Diceros bicornis minor: one gene and its partners. The protein of the gene in region 1 interacts with the protein of each later gene in a pairwise test. Links are inferred from orthologs where the notes say so. Each region holds a gene or a part of one and is shown in the gene's direction. Other genes may lie near its edges.

What was found.
Region 2: the proteins of KHDRBS2 (region 1) and PRR3 interact in binary tests that used the Homo sapiens proteins (3 or more experiments, as listed by UniProt). The two-hybrid records come from large-scale screens. The link is inferred for Diceros bicornis minor from reciprocal best matches to the Homo sapiens genes KHDRBS2 and PRR3.
Region 3: the proteins of KHDRBS2 (region 1) and PTK6 interact in binary tests that used the Homo sapiens proteins (3 or more experiments, as listed by UniProt). The two-hybrid records come from large-scale screens. The link is inferred for Diceros bicornis minor from reciprocal best matches to the Homo sapiens genes KHDRBS2 and PTK6.
Region 4: the proteins of KHDRBS2 (region 1) and DOCK2 interact in binary tests that used the Homo sapiens proteins (3 or more experiments, as listed by UniProt). The two-hybrid records come from large-scale screens. The link is inferred for Diceros bicornis minor from reciprocal best matches to the Homo sapiens genes KHDRBS2 and DOCK2.

What each region holds. Positions count from the first base shown.
Region 1 is NC_080753.1:8,698,528-8,705,904, forward strand, and holds the start of KHDRBS2 (KH domain-containing, RNA-binding, signal transduction-associated protein 2), read left to right. Parts: upstream 1-4,372; 5' UTR 4,373-4,579; coding exon 4,580-4,670; intron 4,671-7,377. UniProt on the Homo sapiens protein: RNA-binding protein that plays a role in the regulation of alternative splicing and influences mRNA splice site selection and exon inclusion. Binds both poly(A) and poly(U) homopolymers. Phosphorylation by PTK6 inhibits its RNA-binding ability.
Region 2 is NC_080753.1:34,524,015-34,531,148, reverse strand, and holds the start of PRR3 (proline-rich protein 3), read left to right. Parts: upstream 1-4,128; 5' UTR 4,129-4,322; coding exon 4,323-4,431; intron 4,432-5,164; coding exon 5,165-5,227; intron 5,228-7,118; coding exon 7,119-7,134. Other genes in the region: GNL1 (guanine nucleotide-binding protein-like 1), read right to left, coding at 103-198, 353-560, 1,483-1,554, 1,670-1,821, 1,977-2,113, 2,503-2,668, 3,087-3,159.
Region 3 is NC_080758.1:663,866-671,085, forward strand, and holds the start of PTK6 (protein-tyrosine kinase 6), read left to right. Parts: upstream 1-4,218; 5' UTR 4,219-4,245; coding exon 4,246-4,475; intron 4,476-7,220. Other genes in the region: tyrosine-protein kinase Srms, read left to right, coding at 75-256, 350-506, 684-877. UniProt on the Homo sapiens protein: Non-receptor tyrosine-protein kinase implicated in the regulation of a variety of signaling pathways that control the differentiation and maintenance of normal epithelia, as well as tumor growth.
Region 4 is NC_080740.1:83,897,447-83,905,024, forward strand, and holds the start of DOCK2 (dedicator of cytokinesis protein 2), read left to right. Parts: upstream 1-4,567; 5' UTR 4,568-4,613; coding exon 4,614-4,656; intron 4,657-7,578. UniProt on the Homo sapiens protein: Involved in cytoskeletal rearrangements required for lymphocyte migration in response of chemokines. Activates RAC1 and RAC2, but not CDC42, by functioning as a guanine nucleotide exchange factor (GEF), which exchanges bound GDP for free GTP.

The sequences.
Region 1 (7,377 bases):
CATAAAAACAGTGCGTCCTACATAATGGGCTCTGCCAGGCTTTTCAGTAGATGAAAATAAGTCAGTCAATATTTCGGTCCTTTGTTATACTCTGTCCTAGGCACCAAGGCATTAGAAAGCTTAGTAAATATTAGCACTTTAAGGCTCCATTATCATTACATAAATGATTGGGCTGCCATAACTTTACTAACCTGTGGTTCTTATTGTGAGTAGGTTCTACTGAATCCTTGGAGTAAGTAGTCAGGGTAGTGAGGTATCTCTAAAGTTGACGAGAACTCTGAAATAGAAACTGTGTGTTTTATTTAATAATACAGTTGGGTATTTTTTATTACTGTGCAAAGATAAGCCTGATTAAATGCCGTTTATCCTGGCTTTTCTTCTAAGGGTTTGTGAAAGTATTGAATACACAGTATGTGCATTAACTACAGGACATACTCTACAGTGCATTCCTTATTCCCCCTTCAAAACCAAATTTTGTTGGTGCAAAATTTTCCATAATATCCCGTTATTAAAATAATAGTGCAGTAAATGGAACATCATTAAAAAAACTTTGAGGACTAGAATTCATGTTAAAATGAGATAAATCTTTATTAACATATACAAATCAATTCAGTGTAGATTTTGGTTAAGTTATTTATACTATTATAAGAAGAGGTGGGCTTACCAGTAGTTATAATTTATTCATGTATAGGCACATAATAATCTCTATTCAACAATCATGTATAGAAGGCTCTTAATTTGTTTACATTTTTTGATGTTTATAAAATGTTTGCATTAATAAAGCGTCTCTGAGAATATCCACTAAATAATTATGGTACCTATAAAATATTTACATGTGTAATAAACGGAGAACACACAATGACATAGAGTCATCTATTGAAAACACATGGATCTGAGGCTGGCTAAGTGTATGTGTAGGGCACTTGGAGAGATTGGCTTTATTCAGCCATATCCTGTTTGGAAATAGACAATATTTTGTGAGTCAATTCTGAAGCATATTGATTATTAAGGGTCAATGTAGCTTATATATTTTTATTTTATAATATCCACCATGTGCTAAATATACAAAGTATCCTAAAGGTTAAGTTAGTATTCATTTTCTTTTAATTTTTTAAAGCTACATAAATACACTTTTTTCTTTAGAATGCATTTTAGGCATTTACTGAGAGTTTACCTGAGAATATAAAATTATAACTACTTTTTGATAATAACTAGGAAAAGTAAAAGTTAACTAGCTTTCCATAATTATAATGACCTGGATATCCAGAGACATATAATAAAGTCAGCCCTTGGACAGCTCTCTGTGGTACCTTCTTAGTGTACTTTAATCACGGAAAAGGATTGTGAATGAGTAATGTGATTTCTGTTGCTGGACATGACAAAAGTTACTGCTTCTTTTTGATTCATGAAACTGGGTTTGTGCATGTCCTCATCAGCACCACATGCTTTTAATCTCTGGGCGTGCTGCAAAGCAAAATGTGATTGCAATTATTGTGCAATAATTTTTCTAATTTATATTCGTTCCAAACATTTACAGTTTACTAGCTGTAGTTTGCATCTTATCCAGCCTCCCGCTATAGCGGCTCCTGACCATCTCTCTGAAGACTGGTAGCATGTTTCCCCTCATATCTCTGTTGCAAACCAGATGCCAAATGCCTGACCCTTCAACTGCTAACCATCCTGCCCACACTCAACTAAAATAGCAAGCACTCTTTGCACTTATCCTCAATTCTAAATTATAACGTCTTTGAAAGTAAGATAAGAGCCAGAAGAGATTGTTTGAGAAGCACTCCAGAGTGATGACAATCCTTTATGGTCCCATTAACACAGGGAATGAAATTCAACTTATTTTCCACCCACCAATCCTTAGGCAGTTTGTCCCCATCCATCCCTACCCTTATTTCTCCCGTTTCTTCCAGATCACTGCAGTCACATTGACCCCAGTCAGTTCCAGGAATAGGCCAAGCTCTTTCTGGTCAAATGGCTTCTGCATGGGCAAATTCACCTCCCTGGAATGCCTTTCTCTGTTCATTTTACGCAGACAGTGCCTTCTTTCCCATCAGGTTTTGCTTTAAATGCCAACTCCTTAGCAAGCCTGCATGTCTATCCTGGCAAAAAAATGGGTTCCCTTGTATTCTCTTTCTTAACTCCTTGCTTGGTTCCCTCCTGGTCTTTTTTGCAGTCAGCAACTACCAGTTCTCTGGTGTATTTTGTTTTGTCTTTCCCCATTAGAAAATCATCTCTATGATGATGGAATGAATGTGTGTATCTCATTCACCAATGTTTCTCCAACTTCTAGCACAGTCTCTAGGCTCTTTTCAATATTCACTAAACATTATTGAATGCATATATGTATAAATAAATTAACTATTTAATATACAAAAAGGTAGGCTAAAGCAGTACAATCTGGAGCTAAATGGTACTAAATAGACTTGAATTTTAATCTCAATTTTAGCATTAACTAGCTATGAGATTTAAAAAAGAATTTTATTTTCTTGTGATGAGAATTTTTAAGATCTACTCTGTTAGCAACTTTTAAATATACAATAGAGTATTATTAACTATAGTCACCAGGCTGTACATTACATCCCCAGGATTATTTTATAACTGGAAGTTTGTATCTTTTGACACCCTTCACCCATTTTGCCCACACCTCTGTCACGAGATACTTTTATAGGCCTAGAGTAACAACACTACAGAGAACACAGATCATTTTAAAGTGTTAGATTTTTACATGGAAAAGCTGATTAAGAAAAAAATGCCTTAAGAAATGTGATTTTCTTTCCTATTGTCAAAAACCAATATTATCAGTGAGTCATGGTTCTCACCGCTTATTTCAAGAACTTTTAACAGTCCTATCAGAATTGTTAGCCACATATCCCCTCACCTTTGGCCCCACGGTGGCATATGCTCAGCTCCCGGATGGCATGAACATGGCTGATGCCAAACGATGTCATATTTGTCACTTCCAGGTCACTGAACTTCTCTGCCTCTGTCTTAGTTTCCACACCTATAAAACAGAGAAAGCAATACTTGCACCATGTTTTCTGGAGTGCTTCTATGAGGAAAAATCGGGATAATGGATGTGAAGGCACATTAAATTAAAAGATAATTTCCCAACCTTATTTTGAAAAACAAATAAGGAAAAGATTTGAATACAGTAAGACAACTTGGAAAAGTTTTAGCACGCTTTATTTGTAGGAAAGTTAGCCCCCCATTCTTCCACACCAAAAATGGTGGGGAAGAGGTGAACTGGAAGATGATCGTTTATGAAAAGAGACTATGGAAGATTGTTTTGTGACATTTGGAGCAGCCAAGCTGCATTTCCAGGCCCCATCCGTAAGAGAAGGACGGGCACTGTCTCCAGCGTCGGTGATAGCTGGAGGGTTTAGCTCTCCTTTAAATAGAGGTGGGATAGGTGCCAAGTAGCGCAGTAACGGCACCCGGTGAAAGGGACTGTCACATCTGAAACAAGGAGAAAGGGGAAATTAGGGCAACCGTGGTTACCTATTGTCTAGTCTCTTCCTTCTTCCACATGCCTTCCCAATTCCTTCACAAACTGTGGCTAATTGATTATGTTGCTTTCCAGTTTTAAAATTCAGTCCCCTCCCGGAAGCCCACCCATAGATGGGGATTGGGGGAGGAGGGATGGATGGAGGGAAACCAGAACTCAGTCGATACCCCAATGATTGTACACTGGAAGCGCGTTGCCGTACAACAATATCGCCCCGGAGCCGCTTTATTTGTTTATCAATGAACATCTTACTGCGTCCCCGAGATGTAGGTCAGGCTCGTTGGAAACACCAGCCGCCGACCACACGCAGTCTTCATTATATTTCCAGACCCGGTGCGCTGCTGATTCCTGCACACTGGAGTGCGTCTGAGCTGCAGGGAGGAGAGGAGACACCTGTGCCTTTGGGACGCCGGTGAAGTCTAGTCTACCTGCCTGAGACTTTCCCTAGTGCTTTCCCATCCCCTCAGCTGCTCACTCCTCATCCCCATCCCCCTGACACCTTGAAGCCGATCGTCCCTGTTTAATGGGTGCTTTTCCCGCTCTCTCCCCGCTCCGCACCTCCGCTGAAGACACAGAGGGCTCCACACAACTGGGCATGCCTAATAACCAGAGAAGGCTTGGGCTGCAAGAAGAAAGCATTTGCACCTTCTGCGCTCCCCTCCCCTCTGCAGCTGCCTCCTGCCAGTCAGGCGATCCGACGTGAGGCGCGGCCCAATGAGGGCCCGCGGCCTGCGCGGGGGCCCCGCCTCCCCTGGCAGCACCACCAATGAGCGGTTGGCGAGGGTGGGACGCGCGCCGTCCCCGCCTCTCCAGTTAAGGCCGCTGGTGTGAGCCCCGGCTCGGCGCGAGCGAGGGACGACGGAACGGACGGGCAGGTGTGGGCGCGGGGCCGCGCGGCCGGCCGGCGGGAGTGGCGGTCGCCCGGTGCGTGGGCCAGTGAGGGCGCGCGGAGAGCCCCCGGCCGCGGCGGAGGCGGAGCGGCGCGGCAGCCAGGCGCTGCCCGCGACCCTGCGTCCGAGCGAGCGGACCCTGCGCTTCGCCCGGGGACGGTCCGAAGTCCGCGCTATGGAAGAGGAGAAATATTTGCCTGAGCTGATGGCAGAGAAAGATAGCCTGGATCCATCTTTTGTGCATGCCTCGCGCCTTTTGGCGGAAGGTAGGACTGGCCCCCACGGATGGGCACGAACGGCCGGCCGCCCGCTCCCCCGCGGCTGGGTTAGGGGAGTGAAGTTGGGGAGGGACGCCTGTCTCCTTCTTCGCGGGAACTGTCCCCCTGAACATGCTCGCTTCAGAGCCCGGGCGGACAGAGCCCGTGCTGGGCGCGGGCGGCGATGCTCCTTCTCCTCTACGTCTCAATTTGGGGAAGACCAGAGCTACGAGGTCTGATGGCAGTGGTGATGTGACCTGTTAGGATCGCTGATAGAGAAACCATCAAGTGTAACGCGGTCTACGGGAATATTTTCACTTCGCAGAGGGGAGGGAAGTCTGTTTGGAAGTAAATAATGGTCAAATTCTAAGACCTTCTTAGCTACAAATCAGCAATTTTATTTTGCTGCATTTGGGAAGTGATTTTGATATCCTTTAGTCTCATTACAGTCTTTCCTATGGAAAGTCTGAGAATAACCTAGGTTAAACTATGCGTGTTCGGCTGTGTCAGTGTGGCAGAGGCTAAAGTGCTTATCAATTTATTTGAAGTGTGGTGATTGGGTACTCTGCAAGATACCGGTCCCTGGGAACACTCCACAATTGATCAACTGTTTTACCAAGTGTGCATTTTCTTTTGTGTACCTGTAATGCTCAAGAAGATTTTATTCCCAGAGGAACGTATATATCTTGTCTTCTGCGTAGCTTTGAAAGGTTGTTTAAACACACATACACACACAAACTTCTGTATGATAGAAATATTAACCAAATTACTCCTTTTATCTTGAAATAATACCGTCTACCTGCTAAAGATATATCTTTAGTAAGCTACACATGCCTTTTTAAAAACAACTCCAGATCTCTTTTGATGAATGCATCATTAATAATGAATCGCTTCATCATCAGACAGACTATAGTGCAGTTTTGTAGCATAGGTTGTTATGGACTCAACTACAGCAAAACTCAAAGTGACAACTTCAGCCCTTCAGAAATGTTTTTTGAGACTTAGTTATACATGGAAGGAAAAATTCTAATCCTCTGTGTATGGTTCAAATAGGCATTAGGTTTATTTAAATATTTTAACGATAGATTATTACGTATGGCAACAATAAAGTGTAACGTGTTTTTTCATTTTTACATACTAAGCAATTAAGAAAAGATTTATAATCAAAATATTGAATGTGTGAAACTACTAAACTGTTTTTCAAGGAACAAGTTGGTTTTGTAGAGGATCTGGGAAGGTAAAATGCAATTATGTTTACTACTTTCTTGGTTACTGAATGAAAAAACCAGAAATTAAAGTTCAACAGTAAAGTCAATTAAAAAAATTAAACCCTCCCTCTACTTTATTAAAAAATAAAGATAACTACATAAAAATAATAAGAATATTGAAAACTAATGAGTTAATAAATGCTTAAGATTGTTCAGAATGATTAAAAATGCAATTAAGCCTGCTCAAATTCTTCACTTCAATATATTTTCCAGAAGTGTCTTCATTTAGCAGATAATGTCTTTAAAATGAAAAAAATGTTACAAATCGATTATTTTCTCTAACCTGCTAATTGGAGTTCTCTTTGGGACAGCAGGCTCAATGATTAATTCATCAGTCATTAATGAGAGTTAGTGTACTTTTGAAAACTGCCAAACTAAAGAAACTCTTAATAGAGTCATGAGTATTTCTGCAGCTGCTAAAACAGTCAGAGAAGGCTATGCACTGGTTCCTTAACATTTTATCTTTTCCAGGAACTTGATTTCTTGATACTGAGGAACAAGTTCCGACGTTCCTTGTAATTTAGTTTTTTCCCAGTAGGGGGAAGCATGTCCTGCTTTTGTAAGGAATTAGCAGGAATAAGCTCCTAAATGGAGAGAAAAGCATCTAAGTAAGAAACAAAGAGATGTCCAAATTTCAGAGAAATCATAATCAGGAAAAGAGAATGGAGAAGGTGATGATGATAATCTTGGAGTATATAAGGAGATATGCAAAAAGATGTATAGGGTTTAAATTAATGCTCTAATTGTTCCTGAGGCTCTTTAAATGTGCTCATTAAAGAGTACAAGGTGAGTGTCCTTTGGACTCTCTAATAAATCTTCATGTACATTTTACGTTATAGATCGTTCCTTATCTTATCAAAGGCCGTTTGCGAAGATTTCCAGGTTTTGTTTCAGATTCTCTATAGGAGAGTATTGTTGAGATTTCTCATACCTGGAAATGCACTGATTGAAGACAGTGGCTATAAATAAACCTGACATAGATATTCATTTGGAAAGAAAGTGCACACTGAAGTGCATTTTAGTCAGTGCTGTGCAGACAATCTCAAGACCGAGTGAGTAATAAAAGTGATCCAGATGAGTCAGTTCTTCAGAATGATTTTCCGGAAGCTAATATATATAAGGGCAGTGATGTAAACCAATGAGCTTTCACAATGATTTATTTTGCTTTTTTGATTGGTGATAGATGCAAATCTGTGCTCAATTGCAACTACTACTTCATTTAGAAATGAAGGCCATGGGGTTAAATGTACTAGTTTTTTGGTTGTTTTGTTATTTTGTTGTAGTTTGTTTTATTTCACTAGTTTCTGCTGTGTTTTCAGTAGGAATGAGTCTGAGAAAGCTAATGGAAGAGGCCAAACCTTTTATGTATTCTACTGTTACTTAGAAAAGATCTTGAATAAGATCTTGAATAATATGGTTTGAAGAGTGTTTATAATATATTTGATTAA
Region 2 (7,134 bases), about 26 Mb from region 1:
CATCCATAATAGACAGGTTGACTTAGGGAAAGGTTAGCAAAAGGACTGCAGGCCCTGGGTCTCCCCCATGGCCTCCCACAGCTCCCTCTAAGGGGCACATACCTTTCCCCGCAGTGATGGCTTCACAGGCTCTCAGCAACTGCTCTGGCCCCAGGGCCCGAGTCCATCCTCTCCCCCGCCTCCGACTCTTCTTCAACACTGAGATCAGAGAGCACAAAAAGGTTAGCACTCCATCTCTCCCACCACCCTTAGGCCCAAGATCAGGAACCCCCTTGTCAACAAGCCTCTCTGTGCTCCCTTTTGTCCCCTGCCACCCGCCTCTCCCATGCTGCCCTCCTCATTGCCCACTCACCGCTACTAGGGTCCTGTGGGGTGCGGGGGTCCCGAGGGAAAGATGTGAAAAGGACGATGTGGAGCTGGGGATAGTGTTGGTGGAAATAATGCTTCCAGGCAACCACGAGAGGCGGCGGGGCCAGATCCACCTTGTTGAGGACCAGCACCAGTGCCAGGCCAAGTTCTCCAGTCACGTACTCATAAAGTGCTGGTGGGAAATTCACAACCTGGGAGAGGGGTGGTCACGGGATGGAGCAATGAGAGGTCAACCCAGAGTTGACATACGCATGTGAGCAAATGCAGACCGTTGTATGCACATGAAAATAGACATTAATTTCTACCCCAACTCCCATCCCTGTGCCTGCTTCCAGCCTTTACCCCAATGTGCTAGGTGTCGCTATTTCCTTATCTTGTTTTCAGCTCATTTCCATCCCTAACCAGGACCCATAGGAAGCCCCTCAGAGACAAATGCAGAGGTGTTACTTACCCCTGCTTTGTCTTTCTAGTTTAGTTTGGCTCATTTACCTTTTTTGCCCCAGAATCTGCTCCCACCAGGGTCTTGTCTCTGAGCTGTGCCTGGTGAGTGGGGAACTGGAGGCAGAGTATATGTGTACGAGTGTGTGTGTACATGTCATTAACGACCTCCAACCTACATGTCCCCACAGACCTCCCTTTCTCCCACTGGAGGACAATGGTGAAGTGGCAGAGAGGATTCACACAAGGGATGCCCAGCAGCAGAGTCTAGAGCCTGAACCACTACCCTAGCATTCCAGGCGAGGCTGAGTCCCATGGCAACTGATGCGGCAAGAGAGGCGGAAGCCCCCAGCTGCCTTCGTAGAAGCTCCTGGAGCTCCACATGGGGACTTTCTATTGGTCTAGTTCCCAGCGGACTGAGAAACAGAATATGCAGTTTTTCATCAAGGGAAGTAAAGGAGAGGAGAGTCAGTTGGCCAGGGGAGGAGTGACAGTCTGTCATACTGATGAATAAGGGACTGAGCTCCTGACTGCGGACAGCAGCATGGGGGAGAGGAGACTGGAAAGGAAAGAGGACACCTCTCTGTCTCCCAACTCCTGCTCCGCCCTTTACCCCACATGGGAGGAGGGAATCTTCCTCCCTCCTCCCATGTCCGCCTTCCCCCCAGCACTCACTGGATGTCGGATGTCGGTGATGAGAAGGATGATGTCAGACATCTCTAACACTCGCCACAGCTGCCGCCATGTCTGCAAAGACAGGTCAGTAGAAGAGACCCTGAGCCCAGAGTCCCTCCCCGCCTGATCCCAGACCAATCTGAGCATCGGTCACTCCGCCCCACTCCTGTCCTCACTCCATTTTCACCTCCAGATTGTGCTCAAAGTAGCTGAGTTTCTCAGAGGTGTAAGCCCCATGAATCTTCCCAAGATACTCCTGGAAGCTCCGTTCCTCCTGGCTCATCAGTTGCTCCTTGGACATCTCATAGCTCCAGGGAGGACGTCGGGGAAAGTCCAGGACTGGAAAGTCAAGAAAAAGTCCAAGTCAGTACGAGGACAGTTTCAGGACTCAAGGGTGCATCCCAGTCCCCTCCTTCCTGACCGTCAGCTCTTCCGAGCTCCTTCCCTCAGCCCACTGCCTGCCCCAAACACCCGGATGTCCGGCTCTCCCTCACCTGAACCGGGCTGATAGACCTCCCGGATGTCCAGCTCTAGCACCTCAGCGCTGACCGGCTGCAGCACTTGCTCCCGGGCTGCTCTCTTCCTCCTCTCCACCTCCTCCCGGCTGTCTCGCTCAAAATGCAGCCGATATCTAACGGGAGAGATGCCACGGCATCCATCACAGTCCTGTGACCACAAAGTCCCGTCTTCTCTCCCCTTGGGCAGACAACTTCGCAAAGCTTGCTCTCCAGACTTGTTCAAATCTCCTCTCGGAGTCGGCCCTCCCCCAAGTCCCTCTTTCATGGAATATTCGCCCTTCCCCTAAGCCTCGCTCTTCTAAAAGCCAAACTCTCTCCAGCCCCTCCGGAAGGGAAGACGGTGGCCTGCTCCGGTGAGCCCGGCGGCCCGCGGAGACTCGTGGCATCCCAGCCCCGCCACCTCCAGTTTCCAGCCTCCACCAACAGCAGCCGGCTTTCCCCCAGCCGGCTGACTTCCGGGTGGGCGGGGAGGCCCAGGCCAGCGCCCCCCGCCCTTTCTCACCGATTCGGGGCATAGCCTCGCGGGCCCAGCCCCTGGGAAGGCTGCTGGTTGAGCCTGCGGATGTGATGGGTCACAGACTCCCCGTCTGAGGTGTCTGTCTGCTCCTCCCGCCGCTCCCGGCTCCCGCTGCGGCTGTTGGAACTGGATCGCAGCCCATCTTGAAGCCCTGCGGGGAGGAGCCGGTGACGCCAGGGCTGGCAGGCTCGCAGGGGCCATAAGACCCTCTCTTCGGCCGGCCTGGCTCCCCCTCACCCCACCCTACTTCTTTTGAGGCCCGGTCCTCCCAGCCACGGTGCCCAGGACCCTCCCGGATGTGCGTGGGGGGAGTCACTCCTCCTCCAGGGAGCTGCGGGGATGGCGCCCCGTTCGAGCTGGAGGGATTCCCCTCCCCCAACTCTCCATCCTTCCCCACTCCTTCCAGATTTAGGGGGCTGGGATGAAGGAATCCCGTCCGCGGTCGCCCGCGCGCCTCGGCGCGCGACCACCACCCCCTCCCACGCCCCCTAGAGGTGCGGCAGGCACACCCCTCCTTCCAGATGTGCGGGAGCCGGAGCCCCGCCCCCTCGTCTCCCTCCCGCACTGACCTCGCTTCCGCTCCCGCTTGTCCTGCAACTGTTTCTTCTTCTGCTTCACGCTGAAGGGCTTCTTTCTCGGCATGGCCCGGACCAGTCACCTGGCCCGCCCTCCGCCGAGCTCCCGCCGCCTCAACTGACTCCCCCCCCGGGGCAGCCCCCGCCGCAAGGGCCCGGGACCCTTGAGGGGGCGGGGCTCTGAGGTGACGTCAGCGGGCGGGCCCGGCCAATTCGCCCCGGCGGCTGGGGTGGAAGGCGGACGAGGGGAAATACAGTCACTTCCCTCTGCGAGCGAGGCGAGAGGATGATGCGGGGTGGGCTACCCGCACGTGAGAGCCAGTAGTACCGAGAGGGCGCAGCGGCGGCGAGGAAGGAGGCGCGCGTGGGAGGATCGGACAACTTCGTCACGGACGCTACCAACTCGCGTTCGGAGGAGGGGGGACGCGTGTCATCACTACCTTTCGCGCCGGCGAGAAGCTACCACTCACCTGGAGGGGAGCGGCGGAGCGGGGGGCGGGTCCTACCACCTGGGGCAGAGAGGGGCGTGGACACGCAGAAGCTGTTTTACCAACCCCCGGGTGTGACCTTAGTGGAAAGCCGAGACTGCGCGTCCCGGGACTGAAGCCAAGTTTCTGGGCTACACTGGGGGCAGGGTCAGAGGTCTTGAGGGGCGGGTGGTGGTCTGAAAAGTCGTGAGCGCCGCCCTGCTGGGACCCAAATTCCTTGTGGGAACGATGATAAGGAACAGGTTTACAGATTATAAGGGCAAGCGCGGGAGAGGAGGGACATCCAGGTAGGACAAGGACTTTTGGAGGGAGGTCAGAGGGCACGAAGTTGTGCCTGCAGCGGTTACCACAGTAACCGGGTACCGGATGTGGCGATCTTAGGATGCGACATCCCTCTCTTCTCAGGCCTTCTGGGCCGAGAGCCTGTCGACTCTATGGCACACTGTGAGGAGACGGTTGTGGGATTTTTTCAGCGAGGGGAGAAGAGAGGAATTTTTTTTCTAAGCTTTTATACAAACGCAGCAAAGGGACGGTCTGAGATTGCCGCCATGCCTGGCAGAGACCGAGGAAGGCAGTTGGTGTGAGAACGCCACCGCACAAAGGACCCCGCAGCCTTCCGGAAGTGAAATGGCGGGAGCCTCAGCCTCACTGTCCACCGCCCCCCCGGAAGCGGAAACAGAATCCCAGCGTGCCCCTTCCTCACTGCCCTCCAAATCCCGCTGCAGCCATTGCCGCAACCACGATGCCGAAACGAAAGAAGCAGAATCAGCAGCAGCAGCAGCCGCCGCAGCAGCAGCCCCCACTGCCAGAGCGGGAAGATACTGGAGATGAGGAGGATGGGAGTCCCATTGGTGAGGAGCCCGGGAGGGGTGTGCACATGCCTGTCAGCCGGTCAGGGCGAGGAGTTAGGGGCTGAAAAGGTGCGGGGGAGGGGGCTCTAACGAAAGGAGGAAGGGCGCACCCGCTGGGGCAGAGAGGGGACTGTCCGGGATGGAGCCCTGAAGGAGGAGTTCTCTTACTTGAACCCTCAACTTCAATCTGGCTCCTAAAGCTTAATAAACAAGGTAGGGGAGAAGGTAAAGAGCTCGTGTGCGCAGCCGCAGAGTGGCAGGGGAGAGGAGTGGTAGAGGTTGCAGGTTGCGACAACTGGGATGACAGTTTGTGATCAGACTTTCACAGGGAAGGTGGAAGTGCAGCCTTCTCTAAAACTACTCCGGGTCAGGGCGGGGGACCGGGGTGTGCGTGGGCTTGGGGAGCTATCTGATTGGCCAGCAGTTAAAGAGAGAAATTGGATTACCTCTGGTATCACTGAGATGGTCTGGATAGCAACAATGTAAAGAAAAGGGAAAGTTGTAGGTAACCTTCCAGCTTTATCCCCCTTGACTGAGTCTCCACTTTTGGCAAACCCTGAAAACGCTTTGCAGAGGAAAGGGCAGATAGATGGGGTGAGAACTCTTAACACTGCTAAGAATATACCTTTACTGGTTGGATTAAGAAATGACTAATAGAAGAAAAACATAATAAGAATAGGATCATCAGTCCTTTAGTCCATTCTGATGACCATATTTTCATGTCTACTCTTAGGACCACCCAGCCTTCTGGGCCCTCCCCCCATGGCCAATGGAAAGCCTGGTGACCCCAAGTCAGGTGAGGAGGAGGGGGCCCCCTAATCCTTTGATTAGCTCCTGGAAAAGGGAGGGAGTGAAACCTAGAAAGAATATATCCTTTAAAATAAAAATATCAGGGCTTTTTGTACCTAAATAAATGGAGACATGTTGTATACTCACAGTTTGGAAAACTCAATGTCGTAAAAATGTCCATTTTTCCCAAATTCATCTATAGAATCAATGCATTCGCAGTTAGAATCCCTATAATGTTTTTGTAGAAATAGACATTCTACATTATAATATGGACATGGAAATGCAAAGGATCAGCCTGAGAGAATGCAAAGACAGTCTTGAAGTGAGAGGGCTTACTCTGAATATCAAGACAACGTAAAGCTATAGTAGTTATGACAGTGTGATAATGGACATTTAAGTCACTAGGATAGCAAAAAGAGTCCAGTAAAAGGCCCACACATATGTGGACACTTAATTTATGATGAAGATGAAACTGAAATAGTGGTCTTTTCAGTAAATGATGCTGGATTAATTGGACATTCATGTGGGGGAAAAAATGAAATTTGACCTCCTATTCATACCATATACAAACATCAATTCCAAGTGGCTTATAGATCTAAGTGTAAAAGGTGAAGAAATAATTCTAGAAAATTAATTTATTTCGTGGTCTTAGAGTAGATAAGAGTCCTTAGACAAGAAATACAGACACACTAACTACAAAGGAAAGATTGGTAAACTGAACTACATTAGAAAATAAAAACTTCTGTTAATCTGATGACACCATTAAGAAATTAATAGGAAGCCATAGAGTAGCAGATACTTGCGACAAATATAACCAATAAAGAGCTCATATCCAGAGTATATAAAGAACTCTTCTAGACAACCTGTTAGAAAAATGGGCGAAAGACTGGAACAGCCACCTCATAAAAACTGAAATCTAAACGGCTAAAAACATGTGAACAAGAATTCAACATCATTAGTCATTAAATAAATGCAAGATAAAAACACACCACTTTGAAATTGAAACTCTTGTGCACTGTTGGTGGGATTGTAAAATGGTACAACCACTGTGGAAAACAGTATGGAGATTCCTCAAAGAATTAAAAATAGAACTACCGTATGATCCAGCAATCCCACTTCTGGCTATATATCCAAAAGAATGGAAAGCAGGATCTTGAAGAGATATTTGCATACCCATGTTCATAGCAGCATTATTCACAATAGCCAAGAGATGGAAGCAACCCAGATGTCCATTGATAGATGAATGGATACACAAAATGTGGTATATTCATACAATAGAATATTATTCATCCCCCAAAGGGAAGAAAATCCTGTCACATGCTATAGCATAGATGAGGCCATTATGCTAAAGGAAATAAGCCAGTTACAAAAAGACAAATACTATATGATTCCACTTATATGAGGTATCTGAAGTAGTTAAATTCATAGAAACAAAGTAGAATGGTGTTTGCCAAGGGCTGGATGGAGGGAGAAAAGGAGAGTTATTTAGTAGCTATAAAGTTTCAGTTTTGCAAGATGAACAAGTTCTGGAGATCTGTTTCACAACAATGTGAATTAACACTACTGAGATATACACTTAAAAATAATTAAGATGGAAAATTTTTTGCTACATGTTTTACCACAATTTTAAAAAAACACCACTTTTCACCCTCATCAGAATGGGAAAAATGAAAAAGATTGACAATACCAAGTGTGGTCAAGACTGTGTAACAGCTGCTGATGGGAGTGTAAATTGGTACAACCACTTTGAAAAAAAGAGTTTGACTTTATGAAACTCGAGCATACATATGCTCTAGGACCCAACAATACCTCTGCTATGTATATACTCAACAGAAGTGCATACATATGTGTAACAAAGACATGTATCAAAATGTTCATGGCAGCGTTTTTCGTTATAGCCCCAAACTGGACTCC
Region 3 (7,220 bases), on another chromosome or scaffold:
TAGGGAGGAGGAAACCGAGGCAGAGAAGGATGTGATGGGTGCAGACACTTGCCCCTGTCGGTCTCGCCCCGCAGGCCCTGAGGGCCAGGCCCTGAGCCCGCCCCTCCTGCTGAGCTTTGCCCGCCAGGTGGCCGAGGGCATGAGCTACCTGGAGGAGCGGCGCATCGTGCACCGGGACCTGGCCGCCAGAAACGTGCTTGTGGGCGATGACCTGACCTGCAAGGTGGCCGACTTTGGCCTGGCTCGGCTGCTCAAGGTCGGTGCTGGCTGCTGACCCTGCAGGGTGGCAGAGCGGCTGGGGGGGGAGGGTGCCACTCCGTCTACCCCACCCTGGTCTCCCCTTGCCCAGGACGACATCTACTCCCCAAGCAGCGGCTCCAAGATCCCCGTCAAGTGGACGGCGCCCGAGGCGGCCAACTACCGCGTCTTTTCCCAGAAATCGGACGTCTGGTCCTTCGGAGTCCTGCTGTATGAGGTCTTTGCCTATGGCCAGTGTCCCTACGAAGGTGGGCCACGAGGCAGCCCCAGGGAGGAGGCACACCCTCCCCCGGGGGTCGCTGACCCTGGAAGGGAGGGCAAGAGGCCTCAAAGCTTGGCAGGGTCTGGCCAAGGGCTGGGGGTAGGTCTCCATGGTGACCCCCAGGCAGAAGCAAGGCAGCCCCTGTCCTCGGCCCCCTCCTCAGGCATGAGCAACCACGAGACGCTGCAGCAGATCATGCGAGGGTACCGCCTGCCGCGCCCGGCCGCCTGCCCCGCCGAGGTCTACCTGCTCATGCTGGAGTGCTGGAGGGGCAGCCCCGAGGAGCGGCCGGCCTTCGCCGTGCTGCAGGAGAAGCTGGGCGCCGTCTACAGGCGCCTCCACCCTGCCCTCACGTGACCCAGGCACTGGACGCTGGGCTGGGGTCACTCCTTCCCGCCAGGGCGTCCCCCCGGGATGATGTTTACCATCAACACGTACAGGGTGCCAGACGGCCCATCACCAGCCCGCAGAGCCTCTGGCTGTGGGCCTCACGCCCTGACACACACACTGACACACACACCTGTGTGCACAGGAGGCAGACACACGCAGACACCCACTCAGACAGGGGAGGGGCTGACGCCCTCTGCCCTAAGTGACCAGTGTCCCTGGCGAAGGATGAACTCAGCACAGAAGGCCAAGTGGAGCCCGAGTTTGCTCCGGCCTCAGGGAGAAGCCTTGAGCCTGGGCTGCGGTCCCCCTGCCCAGGCCTGCTGCCCTGGGCCTGCTCGACCCCCTCCCAGGGTCAAGAGCGAGGGGTGGGAATTCCCAATTTTCCCCAAAGTCCCCGCATGGCCTTGTGGAAGCAGTGGTGCCAGGGCTCCCAGGCAGACCGTGGGAACTGGCCCCACATGGCACATGCTGGGCGTACGCTGGGGCGTGGCCACTGCCTCCCACGGGCACACCGTTTCCCGTGTGTAGACCTGAGCACACGGGAAGGCAGCACTTAATAAATACGTATTGACTGACTCAGACGCAAGCAGACATGGCTCACACATGGGCCTCAGCCCCCTGAACCAGAACAGGAGCTGGAGCTGGTGGGGTGGGCCCCCAGTTGGTTTACCCTGGCAGAGGGAGAGCTAACCCCCGCGTGGCCCAGGCCCCCACCCCAGGGCATCTTGGCACCCAGAGCAGGTTGACCCAGAGGCAGCACTACCCCTGGGCCATGGGCAGGACTCAGGTGTCAACAGCCCTTTCCGTCTCCCTGGGGCTGGAGCAGAGAGATCGGGATGGGATTGAAGAGGTGGGGGACTGGGTCAGGCCACGGGAAGGTCAGTGGTGGCTGCGTGACCGTTTTTGGGGGTGTGTGACCCTTGAGGTCAGTTCTCTGGGGATGGGGCAAAGGTGAGAGAGGCAGAGTCTGCCTCGTGGTGCTGGTCCTGGTGTTGCCCTGGCTGTGCAGGGTCAGGCGGGGTGGAGGTGGATGCTGCTGGGTGAGGGCTACTGGGTGATAGCTGGCTCTCTGGGGAAAAGGAAGCAGCCCCGATGCATGGCCTTTGGGGTCTCCAGGGTGTGACTGCTCCCGCCGGGCTGAGGAGCCGGGTGGGACGTGTGCTGTTGGTTCTTGCTCAGCCTGCCTGGCTCCCGTCACCACCAGATGGACAATAGAGGGGCGGGGGGCAGGGCAGATGCGGTCTGTGTTTGTGGTCCCTGACCCCCACCCTCCTGGGAGCCCCACGCTGGCAGCTGTGCCCCAGAAGGCCTGTGGGGACTGAAGGGGCAGACCACGCAAGGCCGCCCTCAGCTCACTGTTCCCTGGAGGGAACGGCCGCTGTGTACGGTTTAGGGTCAGCTCTGGGCCCGCTGAGGCCAGTTAGCCCTTCACTGCTGACCCCAGGCCCTGCCCATGGGCTGGCACTGGAGGAAGCTGGGACCCTTGAGTGCAGATAAATGACCCTCCCTGGGGCCACTCAGATGCTCTGAGAACAGTAGGGACTTCCTGGAGGGGAGGGCGGTGGGGGCACCGCAGGTGGGGGCAGCACAGAGGGATGAGGTCACGTCAGGGCCCAGACCAGCCTGGCTGTGGCCCAGGGCCGAGTGGGGAGAGGGCAGGGGCCCCTTGGAGTCTTGGGTATCAGGCTGGGGCTGGTCCCGACCCAGACGGATGGTGGGGGCAAGAGGGTTTGACCTGAGCCCTTTGACCCCAGCAGCCTAGCCGAAGCTCTGCCTTGGCCTGCAGCCCTTGACCCCCTCCATCCTGTCCTGGGAGACCTGAGGGGCCAGCTCTGGCTCGTAGGCTGAGAAGGTGAGGGTTGGAGGTGAGCTCTTGGGTTCTGGGTGTTTCCTCAACACACGAGCAGCAGTGTGGGACCAAGGGGCTCAGCCACCAGATGGGCATGCCTCTGCTTCCCGAGCTGCAGTGCGAGCCAGGGGAGCTGGACGGGCGCCTCCAGGGAGGGAACGTGCTGGGCTTGGCAACCGGCCAGAGAGGTGGGTGTGTGTGGGGTCACTGCCTCATTCCTGGGGTGTCTCATCAGCCACAAGCTGAACAGGTTTAGTGCTCGGGGCCCCTGGGAGGGGCCGGGGACTTTCAGGCTTGAAACTCTCCTGCTTCCTGGTGCCATTCAGGCGGAACCTGGGCACGTCTGTGCCCCGCGACATGCCTTGGCCCCCTAGACATGGGGTCCCGGGCTGGCCCAAGGGCTGAGGGGACAGGAGCGTGTTGGTGAGCAGTGAGAGGCAGGTTGGGGGCACCTGGGAGCTCCCTGGGCCCCAACATAGGGCCCAGCCGTCCCTCTCGCCCCCTCTGATCTCTCCCCACACCCCCTCTGCTGCCCCTTCCCCACGTGGGGCAGAGCTGAGCTGGGCTGCCCATCGTCTATGAACTTGTTGAACGACACATGTTTGGGTCCGGAATCTTGGAGGGAGTGAGTGGTGCCACGGCTGTCTCTTCAGTCAAAGGGAAAGTGCCAGCACGTAGGGTTTAGTATGTGATTTTCCCCTGGTCACTTGTCCTCACGGTCCTCCTGGCATGGGGGCCGAGTCCCTACACCCCCTCTCTGCAGATCCCTGCCCTCCTGTCCTCGGGAGCCCGGCGCACAGGACAGCTCCCATGGAGCTGTTGGGTGGGCTCCGTGGGGGAGGGAGAGGTGCCCAGGACACAGGACAACCTTCGGGGGTGGGAAGAGAAGCAGCCCTCTGGGGGGCTTCTGGCAGTGACTCTGCTAGGAGCTTGCTGTCCGTCTGTCTGTCCGGATCAGTCCTGGCAGCCCTGGGAGGTGTGGGAAGGAATGACTCACCCCTGGGCCTCCGCCCCTCCCCTCACCCTTCAGCTCCAAGACTCACTCCCCTTGGGTTCCACTTACACCTGAGCGCCCATCTGTCTGACCAGTTGCCCTGCCCTCCCTTCCCCTGGGCTCAGGTCCGGCCATGTAGCCTGGGGCGCCTTAGTGGCTGGTTGGTGCACAGGTTTCCCATAGCAGATGTGCAAGAGTGGTACCCAGGCTGAGCTGGCCGCAGTGGGTAGGAGGACAGGTGGGGGCTGCCGGGGCCCTTAGGGTGGAGCCCAGGTGCCTGAGGAGGCCCGGGAGAGCCCGTCCCCAGTGGGCACGGGTGTGGCCAGCCTGACCTGGCAGCCTCATCACAGGGAAGTGGGCCAGCTCCTCAGCTGGGCGGAGATGGCCTGTCAGGGTTAGCACCGCCTGCCCGTCCTGCCAGCCAGCGTGCCGGCAGCCAGCAGAGTGACAGGTGGCGAGGCCAGGTGGCCAGGTCCTGCCGCTGCGCCGGCAATGGCGTCCCAGGGCCAGGTGCACCTGAACCCCGAGTACGTAGGCCTCTGGGACTTTGAGGCCCGGACAGACAAGGAGCTGAGCTTCAGGGCAGGTGACCTCTTCCACGTGGCCAGGAAGGAGGAAGAGTGGTGGTGGGCCATGCTGCTGGACGAGGCGGGCCTGGCCCTGGCCGAGGGCTACGTGCCCCACAACTACCTGGCCGAGAAGGAGACAGTGGAGTCTGAGCCGTAAGTGTCCCTGTGGGCCCTGTGGGTCACTCCAAGGTGCCCCCAATCCCTAGGCCCTGCGGCTCTGCGAGAGCTCCAGGCAGGGCGGCGGTCGGACAGAGCTCCGTGCCAGGTGGTCTCGGGGGAGGGGCAAGCGTGCTGGGCCGGCCCCTGGGAGGCCGGTGAGGGTGGCGACCCGTGGCTCTGTCTCCCTGTGTTCCCCAGTCAGGACTGGACCCCACCGTCCCGGTCCTGGGAGCACTAACTGGGCTTTCACCAAGTGTCATCTGGGGATGGGGGCATGTGGCCCCTCCCCTGGGCTCCCCACAGTCACTTCGTGGTGCCAGGACCCAGAGAGGACAGAAGGGTCCGCAGTGGGCTTCCGGGTGGCTGGCCGACAGTGATGAGGTCTGCGCGGGGGACTGACACAGGAGCATTGGGCCTTTTGGGGAGTGAAGCTTCACTCACCTTCCAAACAACTGAAACCAGATGTGTGACTCAGAGGGAGCGCTCCAGAAGGTCGTTGCGACATGCTCGTCCAGGGCGTGTGCTGAGGCATCTGCTCCCTGTGCCCTCGCAGCTGCCCTGTCACTGGCAAGGTGGCTCCCAGAGGCGGTGGCCAGCTCTGAGGGGCTGCCTAGGAAGCTTAGACCACAAGGCGCAGCCTGGTGAGGGCGTGTCCACGGCGCCCTGAGGTGGTTCTTCCGAGCTCTGGGCGGGGTGGGTCCAGGAGGGACTCCTGTTTCCTGCCTGCACTCCCGTGATCGTGGTGGCTCACCAGCACCCACGTGGACTGAGCACCAGGCTGTGCCGGGAGAGCACGAGAGCATGTGTGGGTTACTCCCACCGCAGGGAGATAAGCAGCAAACAATCACAGTCATAAAGAGGACAGTTTCAGAAGGCGGGGTCCCATGACAGGGATACTGCAGGGTGGGCACGGCTGGTGAAGGCCCCTGAGGCCCTGAGAGCCCAGCGCATTTGAGAAGCAGGAAGGAGGCAGGGGGGTTGGAGGGGTGAGCAAATGGGAGAGACTGGACAAGTGCTGGATCGGTCAGGGGCAGAGTGTGGACTCCCAAGGTGCTCTCACGGGGCAGTAGCCTTCTGTGCAGGTGCCCAAGTTCCAAAGGTGCCTGAGGGAGTCGAGGTACCAACAGCAGAGCAGCCGGCAGCAGGGGTTATGTGCGGAGCTCTGAAGGCCCCACCCTGCAGTCCAGAGTCAAGGGCTCATCCATGCCCTGGTTCTGGGAGCTGGTGTGTGCAAATACGTGTGAGTGTGTGGGTGCATGCATGTGTGTGTGTGCATGCGTGTGAATGTGTGGGTGCATGCGTGTGTGGGGTGCATGTGTGTATGTGTGGGTGCATGCGTGTGTGAGGTGCATGCGTGTGAACATGTGGGTGCATGCATGTGAATATGTGGGTGCATGCGTGTGTGCGAACGTGTGGGTACATGTGTGTGTGCATGCGTGTGAACATGTGGGTGCATGGATATGGGCATGCGTGTTAACGTGGGTGCATGCATGTGAATGTGTGAGTGCATTGTGTGGGGTACATGCGTGTGAACACGTGGGTGCATGTGTCTGCATGCATGTGAATGTGTGGGTGCAGGCGTGTGTGTGTGGGTGCATGCATGTGAACGTGTGGGTGCATGTGTGTGAACACGTGGGTGCATGTGTGTGTGCATGCTTGCAAACGTGTGGGTGCATGCATGTGAATGTGTGGGTGCCTGTGTGTGTGTATGCATGCATGTGAACATGTGGGTGCACATGTCTGTGTGGGGTGCATGCGTGTGAATGTGTGGATGCATGAGTGTGTGTGGGGTGCATGTGTGTGAACATGTGGGTGCATGCGTGTGTGAATGTGTGAACGTGTGTGTGCATGAGTGTGTGTGGGTGCACGCGTGTGAACGTGTGAGTGTATGTGTGTGAACATGTGGGTACATGTGTGTGAACGTGTGGGTGCATGTGTGCGTGTGTGGGTGCATGCATGTGAACGTGTGGGTGCGTGTGTGAACACGTGGGTGCATGTGTGTGCATGCTTGCGAACATGTGGGCACAGGCGTGTGTGGGGTGCATGTGTGTGAACGTGCAGTTGCATGTGTGTGTGGTGCATGCGTGTGAACATGTGGGTGCATGCATGTGAACATGTGGGAACATCTGTGTGCATGCGTGTGAACATGTGGGTGCATGTGTGTGAACACGTGGGTGCATGATTGTGAACGTGTGGGTGCATGCGTGTGAACACGTGGGTGCATGTGTGTGAATGTGTGGGTGCATGTGTGTGTGGATGCATGCATGTGAACGTGTGGGTGCATGTGTGTGTGTGGTGCATGCGTGTGAACACGTGGGTGCATGCATGTTAACGTGGGTGCATGCGTGTGAACGTGTGGGTGGGGTGCATGCGTGTGAACATGTGGGTGTATGTGTGTGAACACGTGGGTGCATGATTGTGAATGTGTGGGTGCATGCATGTGTGTGGGGTGCATGTGTGTGAACGTGTGGGTGCATGTGTGTGTGGTGCATGTGTATGAACATGTGGGTGCATGTGTGTGAGTGCAAGGGCATGTGTGCATTGCCTTTCTGCCTAGATGCCCAACCCAAGGTCCTTGGAGCTGGAGCCCAGTGTCTGTGGCCCGGGTCACAGGAAGTGGTCCCAGAATCACAGAAGGATGTAGTCCCACAGGATGGGATGGCACGTGTCTGGGACGGGAGACATCTGGGCAGGGTGGTGGGAGCCTGCTTCACCTCTTCCTGGTCACGAGGGCCTTTC
Region 4 (7,578 bases), on another chromosome or scaffold:
ATTTTGTTATCAAATTAGACAGGAAAGCATTGTGTTTATTATGCAGTGACACTACAACTGTGCTAGAAGAATACACTATAACAGAGTAAGCACTCATCACAATATTCCCAACTGCAAAAAAGCAGTGGCTAGAAAAATTGGAAAATTTAAAACATTATCTCATCACAACACAACTTATTAAAAAAAAAATTAAAAAAATGAAAATGAGGGCCGGCCCCGTGGCTTAGTGGTTAAGTGCGCGCGCTCCGCTGCTGGCGGCCCGGGTTCGGATCCCGGGATCGCACCGACGCGCCGCTTCTCCGGCCACGCTGAGGCCGCGTCCCACATACAGCAACTAGAAGGATGTGCAGCTATGACAGACAACTATCTACTGGGGCATTGGGGGAAAAATAAATAAATAAAATCTTTAAAAAAAAAAAAAATGAAAATGAGACTGCAACCAAAGTAAGTTTCCAATTGACTCATTTATTAACCATGCAAGGAAAGACATTTATTAATGGTGAGTTAATTAAATTATGTTTGATTATAGCAGCAGATGAAATATGTTCAGAGAAAATAAAGTAGTTTAAGACTATTAGCCTTTTGGTGACAGTGGTTGCTTGAAGAGTTGAAGACATTGGGAGCAACATTAATAATCAGTTTAAAAGCAAGGCAAATGAGGGGGCTGGCCTGGTGGTGCAGTGGTTAAGTTCATGCCCTCTGTTAAGTTCACAGGTTCAGATCCCGGGTGCAGACCAACGTACTGCTTGTCAAGCCATGCTGTGGTGGTGTGCTATATAAAGTAGAGGAAGATGGGCATGGATGTTAGCCCAGGGCCAATCTTCCTCAACAAAAAGAGGAGGATTGGCAATGGACGTTAGCTCAGGGCTAATCTTCCTCACACATACACACAAAAAAACAAGGCGAATGATTTCTAGTGGTTTTCCTTGGGTTTTGATAAGTTGACAGATGTTATCAATATAGCTCAGTTGTTTATTTGACAAGTCAATGCTGAGTTTGAAGTGAATGAAGAATTAGCTTCTTTGAATAGTTCGTGTGGAAAACTATGGACAAAAATATTTTCAAAGAAAATGAGGAAACTAATTTAGTACAACCTGAAGTGGAATCTGCTAAGATGTTACAGCTATTGGTGGTAAAAATATGTGTGGAGCAGAAAAAAGTTTTTCGGACAAATTTACAAAGCTTGTGAAAATGTAGAGTGTTTAAAGCCTATGCCAATTTATTGTAATATTCACAGAAGGTACTTTGTGGAAAATATTTAAATCTATCATGTGTTATCAAGCCAATTGTGTCAAAGGTGAATTTCATTAGCTCATCTGGACTTAACCATTGTCTATTTTGTGAACTTTTGTCAAAAATAGAAGCTGAATATCTTGACTTGCCCTACCAACCACATAGCAGTTCCAAGGCTTAACAGTAATAAGTCATCTGTGACTTTTTGAGCTCGGGTCAAGATTGAAATTTTTCTTAACAAGAACAGCCCTCAACCACTATTATTGAATACTTAATGGCTTTGGAAATTAGCTTTGCTGCAGACTTCGTAATGTTTCTTAATAGATTCAACCAGAATTACAAAGCAAAACAGTGGTTATATGCAGAACACTGTGGCAAAGTTATCTTGATGGAAATTAATGTTTAAATCACAAGTAATGTCAAGCTGTTTTTAAAACTTCCTGTGCTGTCAAAAATTAAAACCAAAAGTGAGATCTCCATTCCTTCACAAATTCTCAGGGAATGTATTTTTCAGGCTCAAATCACAGTTCCAGCAATGTTTTTCAAACTTCAAAACAAATGCAGAAGAAATTTTTAAATTTCAAAACCTATTTAACTGTGCAATTGAAGAGCTTCCATCTAACCTTCAATTGGAATTGATTAATTTGCAATATAATGATGTGCTAAAAGGCAAACATCAAGAGAAGATTTAATAGAACTCTGTAAATTCCTTCAGAGCAATGAAGATGCTTAATAAAATCTTATGTTCGTGGATTAATATCAGTATTTGGCAGTACCTTCCTCTGAGAGTTTTAGCCAACTGTGAAAGTTAGCCAACCACAAAGTTTAGAGGGTACACAGCCCACAGAAGACTATTCTCAGTTCTGACACCAATTGCAGGTTTGATGGGTTCCCAAAACCACTTTTGGGGTCAATAATTCACTAGAAAGACTCACAGAACTCAGTGAAAGCTGTTATGCTCAGATACCATTTGTTATCGGGAAAGGATACAGATTTAATCCAGCCAAGGGAAGAAGTGCATGGAGCACAGTCCAGGAAGTACCAAACATTTCCATTGTCTCCTCCACAAGGAGTCAGGATGCGTTACTTGCCCAGCATCAATGTGTGACAATATGTGTGGAGTATTGCCAACCAGGAAAGCTCACCCAAACCTTGATGTCTAGAGTTTTTATTGGGGCTCCATCACATAGGTATGGTTGATTGATTGGCCAAATGGTTGATCTCAACCTCCAGGTCAACTGATACCGTGTAGTCCAAAGCCCCCACCTATATCACATTGCTGATCTTTCTAGCGTGGTCAGCCACCAACCTAAATAATATTTTTAGACTGTCCAGTGTGACCCAAGTTCCCTAGGCAAACTGTGACATTCCAAGGGCCTAGAGATCACCTCCCAGTAGCTGAGGACAAATATCAGACCTCTTTTTGGGCAAGGTTAATTCTTCACTACATACCACCTGTGGGAAAAGAAATTTTCAAAGACAAAGCATATAAACTTTCATTATGGATCAGCATGAACAGATGAACATCTGCAACCAATCTGATGAAAGGGAACACTAACTCTGAACTCCAATGAAGTGAAATGTGATCTCCCCCCAAAATTTATTTTTCTCATTACTAAACCTATATCACAAAATTATTAATTATTAATGTCAAATTTATTTATTTATTAATATCAATTATTAATGTCAAATTTTGAATTTTATCAATAAAAATTGTGGAAATTTGTTTTCTCTCCTGTTATATAAATACCTACACAGTATCCTGATTTTGCCTATTGGCCTGCAAAGACTGAAATATTTACTATCTGACCCTTTACAGAAAAAGTTCACCAACCTCTGACGTTTAGTTCAGTTTGTAATACAGCTGTGATGGTTAGTTTTATGAGTCAACTTGACAAAACTATAGACCCTAATTATTCAGTCAAACACCAATCCAGGTGTTGCTGTGGAAGTATTTTGTAGATGTAATTAACATCTACAATCAGTTGACATTAAGTGAAGGAGATTATCCTCAATAATCTGAATGGGCCTGATCCAATTAGTTGGATTGCCTTAACTGAGCTTTCTTTGAAAAAGAAGAAATTTAGTCTGTGGATAGCAGCTCCTGTCTGAGAGTTTCCAGCCTGTGCTTCCTGATGGCCTGCCCTACAGATTTTGGACTTGCCTAGCCAGCCCCATATTCACATAAGCCAATTTCTTGCAATAAATCTCTCTCTATATGTACACATCCTACTGGTTCTGTTTCTCTGGAGGAATCCTGACTTATTCAACTGCTCACTATAAAAGATACTACCCAATTTATGCTGCTAGAAAACTGAAAAGAAAATAACTTTAAATAAAATGAAATTAATATTTTGCCATAGCTGCCTGTTGGCTGTGATATTGCCTAATCTATCTTATTGACTCCCTAGTGTAAGGCAGAAAGGGGTAGTGAGAGTTATGAATAAAGAAAGAAAATTCAGGAAGACTTTGTCGGTCTTATCACTGTGGATCACAGAGACATTTTTGTTTCTTGATAGAATCTGTTTCTAGAGCAAAAATGAGATCTTTCCAAGAAATGTCTCCGGTAGCCTAACTCTAGGCCTCTTTTCGTGGAGTCCACTGTTGCTGGCTGTTAGAGCACGCCTACGTCCTGGCATTGTCGGTAAATCCTATGCTTGTGTATTTTCAGAGGAGAGATTCCTGAGCTTTTGTCAGATTTTCAAATGGGTCTGTGGCACCAAAAGGATAAAAACCACAAATGACCTCCCCTTCAAGTGGATATTTAACTCTCCTGTGTCACCTACTGCAGACATTATCTCCTCTAATCTTCAGAGTAACTCTTATGTGTCACCTGCTGCAGGCATTGTCTTCTCTAATCCTCACAATAATCATATGAAGTAGGTACTAGTATCCCATTTTACAGATGAGTAAACTGAAGCTTAGAAGAGACATTTGTCCTCGTTGCACAGCTGATAAGCAACAGAGCCTGGATTTGAACCTACACCTGACACCAAAGCTCGTGCTGGGAGGGTGAGGAGGGAGGGAGGATTCTGCTCAACCACTAGGCTCAGCTATCGGGGAACTTGCTGCACTTGTGGTGGCGGCATGGGTCGTCCCAAGTACCTGCTTGGCCTCTGCCCACCCGCCTGGGGAGGAGACAAGTTGGGGGTGTCTTCTAAGCTTTGCGGGGGCTTTCTGGCCTTCTAACCACTTCTAATGTGCCCCTGCCCAAAGGGAGGGAAGAGGAGGAGCGGGGCGCCCAGGAGAGGGGAGGGCGGGCCCTGAGATGGAGTTTGTTTGAAAAGAGGAAGGAAGTGGGGCCCGGCAGAGCGCCTAGCCACCCCCTGGCTGCTTCCCCACAGGACTACGCGAGGCGCCCGCAGGCCCCCGGCTCAGCTATGGGCCCCTGGCGCAAAACTGACAAGGAGCGGCACGGAGTGGGTAGGTGCGGGCATGGGGTCTGCAGCAGGGAAAGGGCAGGTGGCCGGAGAACCGCACGCAGGCAGATGCTGCGGAAGCCGGAGGCGCGGGCGCGGGCAGGGAGCGCTGACTCAAGGTCCGAGGGCGCCGTGGCTCCCTCAGCCTGCTGCGAGGCCAGCTGGGCGGGGAAGAGGATGCAGCGGGAGAGGAAGGTGGGCACTCCGCCCAGCAGGCTGCGCCCAGCCCGCGCCCTCTCGCGCCCACCGCGGGCCGCCTTTTCTCCCCAACGCTTATGCATTTCCTAGATGGGGTCTAGCCGAGCGCTTGGCATCCTGGCTCTGTGCACCAGGCTCCCAGCGTTCCAGGGAGTGGACTCCATCGCCCCATCTGGAGACTTGTCCTCATAGAGGGAGCACCGCTCTCTCCCCTGGCCTGGCCTTGCTTGGCCCAGCATGCCTCCCTCCACCCCTGTCCAAAGCGGCACTCCTCTGCCTGCTTCCCCTGCCTGTTCCTCCTGGGTCAGATGACGCCTGATTTGGCAGAGCATCCAGAGGGCTGTGCAGGCTTGGGGGGTGGGTCTGGGTGGCGGGATCCTTCACTCAGCCCCCAGAGATCTTCTGGAGAGAAAGGATCCTGCCAGGTTATCTGAGGATGTCTAAGAAGTAAGCCTCTTAGCTTCAGCCATCTACACTCCCAGAGGCCTCTGCCTGAGCTCAGGGGCGGAAGTGGTGGCTGGGGGAAGGGAGGCTTCAGGTACTGGAACTCTTTCTACTAAGTGGCGTCCGTGGTGCAATCCCCGTAGACTCACTGTGGTTTTCAAACTTAAGTGTGAACTTTAAAACCACTGTATGGCTTGCTACACAGGCAGATACCAGACACCACCCCCAGAAATGAGGATTGAGCAGGTCAGAGGTTGGAGGATCCAGGCACCAAGAGTGATTAGATGCAGGGGGTCCCAAGGCCACTGATGGAGAAACACTGCCCTGGAGAGCTCAACTTTTATCCATTCGCTTACTGGGCTCTAGGCACTATAGAGTGTTTTAAGGTGAATTGTCCCCATCCAGAGAACGAATAACTATTCACACCCTCAAGGGGGCTCAAGTTCTTCATCTATAAAATGGGAAATTTGAACTAGACTCAATAAGGACCCTTTTTAGCTTCAAAGCTTCTTTAACTCTGGTTCTTCCAGCTGGAGGTATCAGGCTGAAACTCTTCTCTAGGGAAGATGGGGACTGTTAAATGAGACAGGCCATTGTAGGTGGAGGGACCCATGTGGTCCAGGAGATGAAAGCTGAACGTGAAGGGCATATCCAGGAAAGAAGAGCAGTAGCTCCTTTTGCCTTGAGGGGAGGGTGCATTGAAGAGAATGATCATGCTCAAAGTAAGTTGGAACCACATTTTGGAAGGGTATGAATGCCCGGCTAAGAAATTGAGACTTTTTCCACTTACGCAGTGGGGAGCAATAGAGGGCTTTTGAGCAGGGGAGGGGCATGAGCAGATTTGTGCTGAAGCTAGTGTAGACGGAGGCTGGGTGGACAGAAGAGCAAAGGTACCTGGGTGGTAGACAAAGGACAGTTTTGGTGGTTCAGGGCAGTTAATGGGGGAGATTGACGTGTGGTGGAAGAGTCCGCCCACCGCCCCAAGGGCTGCAGTGCATTTCAGCTGTGTAGGCCCTGTGCTGTGGTGTGAGGACCATGGACTCTGGTGCTAGACTGCTTGTTCCTGGATTTCAGCTTCCCACACTTCCCAGCCCTGTGACCTAGACAGTTACTTACTTTGTCCAGGCCTCAGTTTCCTTGTCTGTATAATGGGGATAATAACAGCACCTGCTTCCCAGGCATGTGGCAGGACTTCATGAGTTAATCCACATAAAGTGCCTAGAATGACAATTGTACAAAATAATCCTCACTAAATATTATCAATTATTATTTTTAGACTTTGTCCTCCTTGGGGTCCAGTTGAGGACATGACATCACAGGATGGAATGCGGCTACAGGATGGAATAGGGTTCTCACCCTCCCTAGCAGGGGAAATCCCACCTCTGTGCTCAGGGACTGGGAACTCTATTAGGCTTCAGGCCCGGAACCTTCTTGATCTGATGGTATAGCTGACATTTTTCACGCCTACTTATGAAAATTCTATTTTATGAGGGATCAGAAGGTCTATGACCCTCTTGGGAGCCAGAGAGCACTTGGTAGGTGCCTGCTCATCAAAGGGATCTCTTTCTCTGCAGATGAATGTCAGAACTAAGGAAGGTAACCTCCCGCCCTCATCTGCAGGCTCTGGGCAGATGGAAAGGAAAGGCTTAGGTTATGATGAGACACGGGACTAGATTATCCAACAGAAGGAACAGTGGCTTGAGAATAAGGAGTCTGGGTTCTAGTTCTGACACCATCACCATTTGCAGGCAGATCTGTGCTCTAGTTTTCTCACTGTAAGTCTAGGTATTAATACTTTTCTATTTCAAAGCATTCTTTTATGAAGAGCATTTGAGATAATGAGTGTGGGTGCCTGGAAGAAGATAAAGAGGTAGAGCCATGTGAGGGATTGGCGGGTTCTTGGAATATCTCTGGAGTCTCAGCCAGGCCTAGCACAAGGAGAACCTGAGCTTTGCTTCCCATTTGGTTTCTTCCTGAGCGTGGGTGGCATTTAGCCATCGTTCCTCTGGCCTAATTGACGAGGGCTGCTGGTGTCTGTTGCTGGGGGGCTGGCTTCATCACCAGAACCACTTGACTTCTCGCTCCTCTTGCTGTCTGGTGGGCAGCCAGGGTGACCCTCATGTAGATCCCTGGCCAGGTTATTTTTCCTTCCTTGATGGACCGTTAACGTGTGGTCCATTAGAGTTCCAGAGAGAACCTTCACGTAGAAGTGGGGTAGGAGTTTCCACGGACAAGACAGTGTGGCTATGAAGTAAGAAAGGGCACAGCCTCTGCCCTTGAGGAG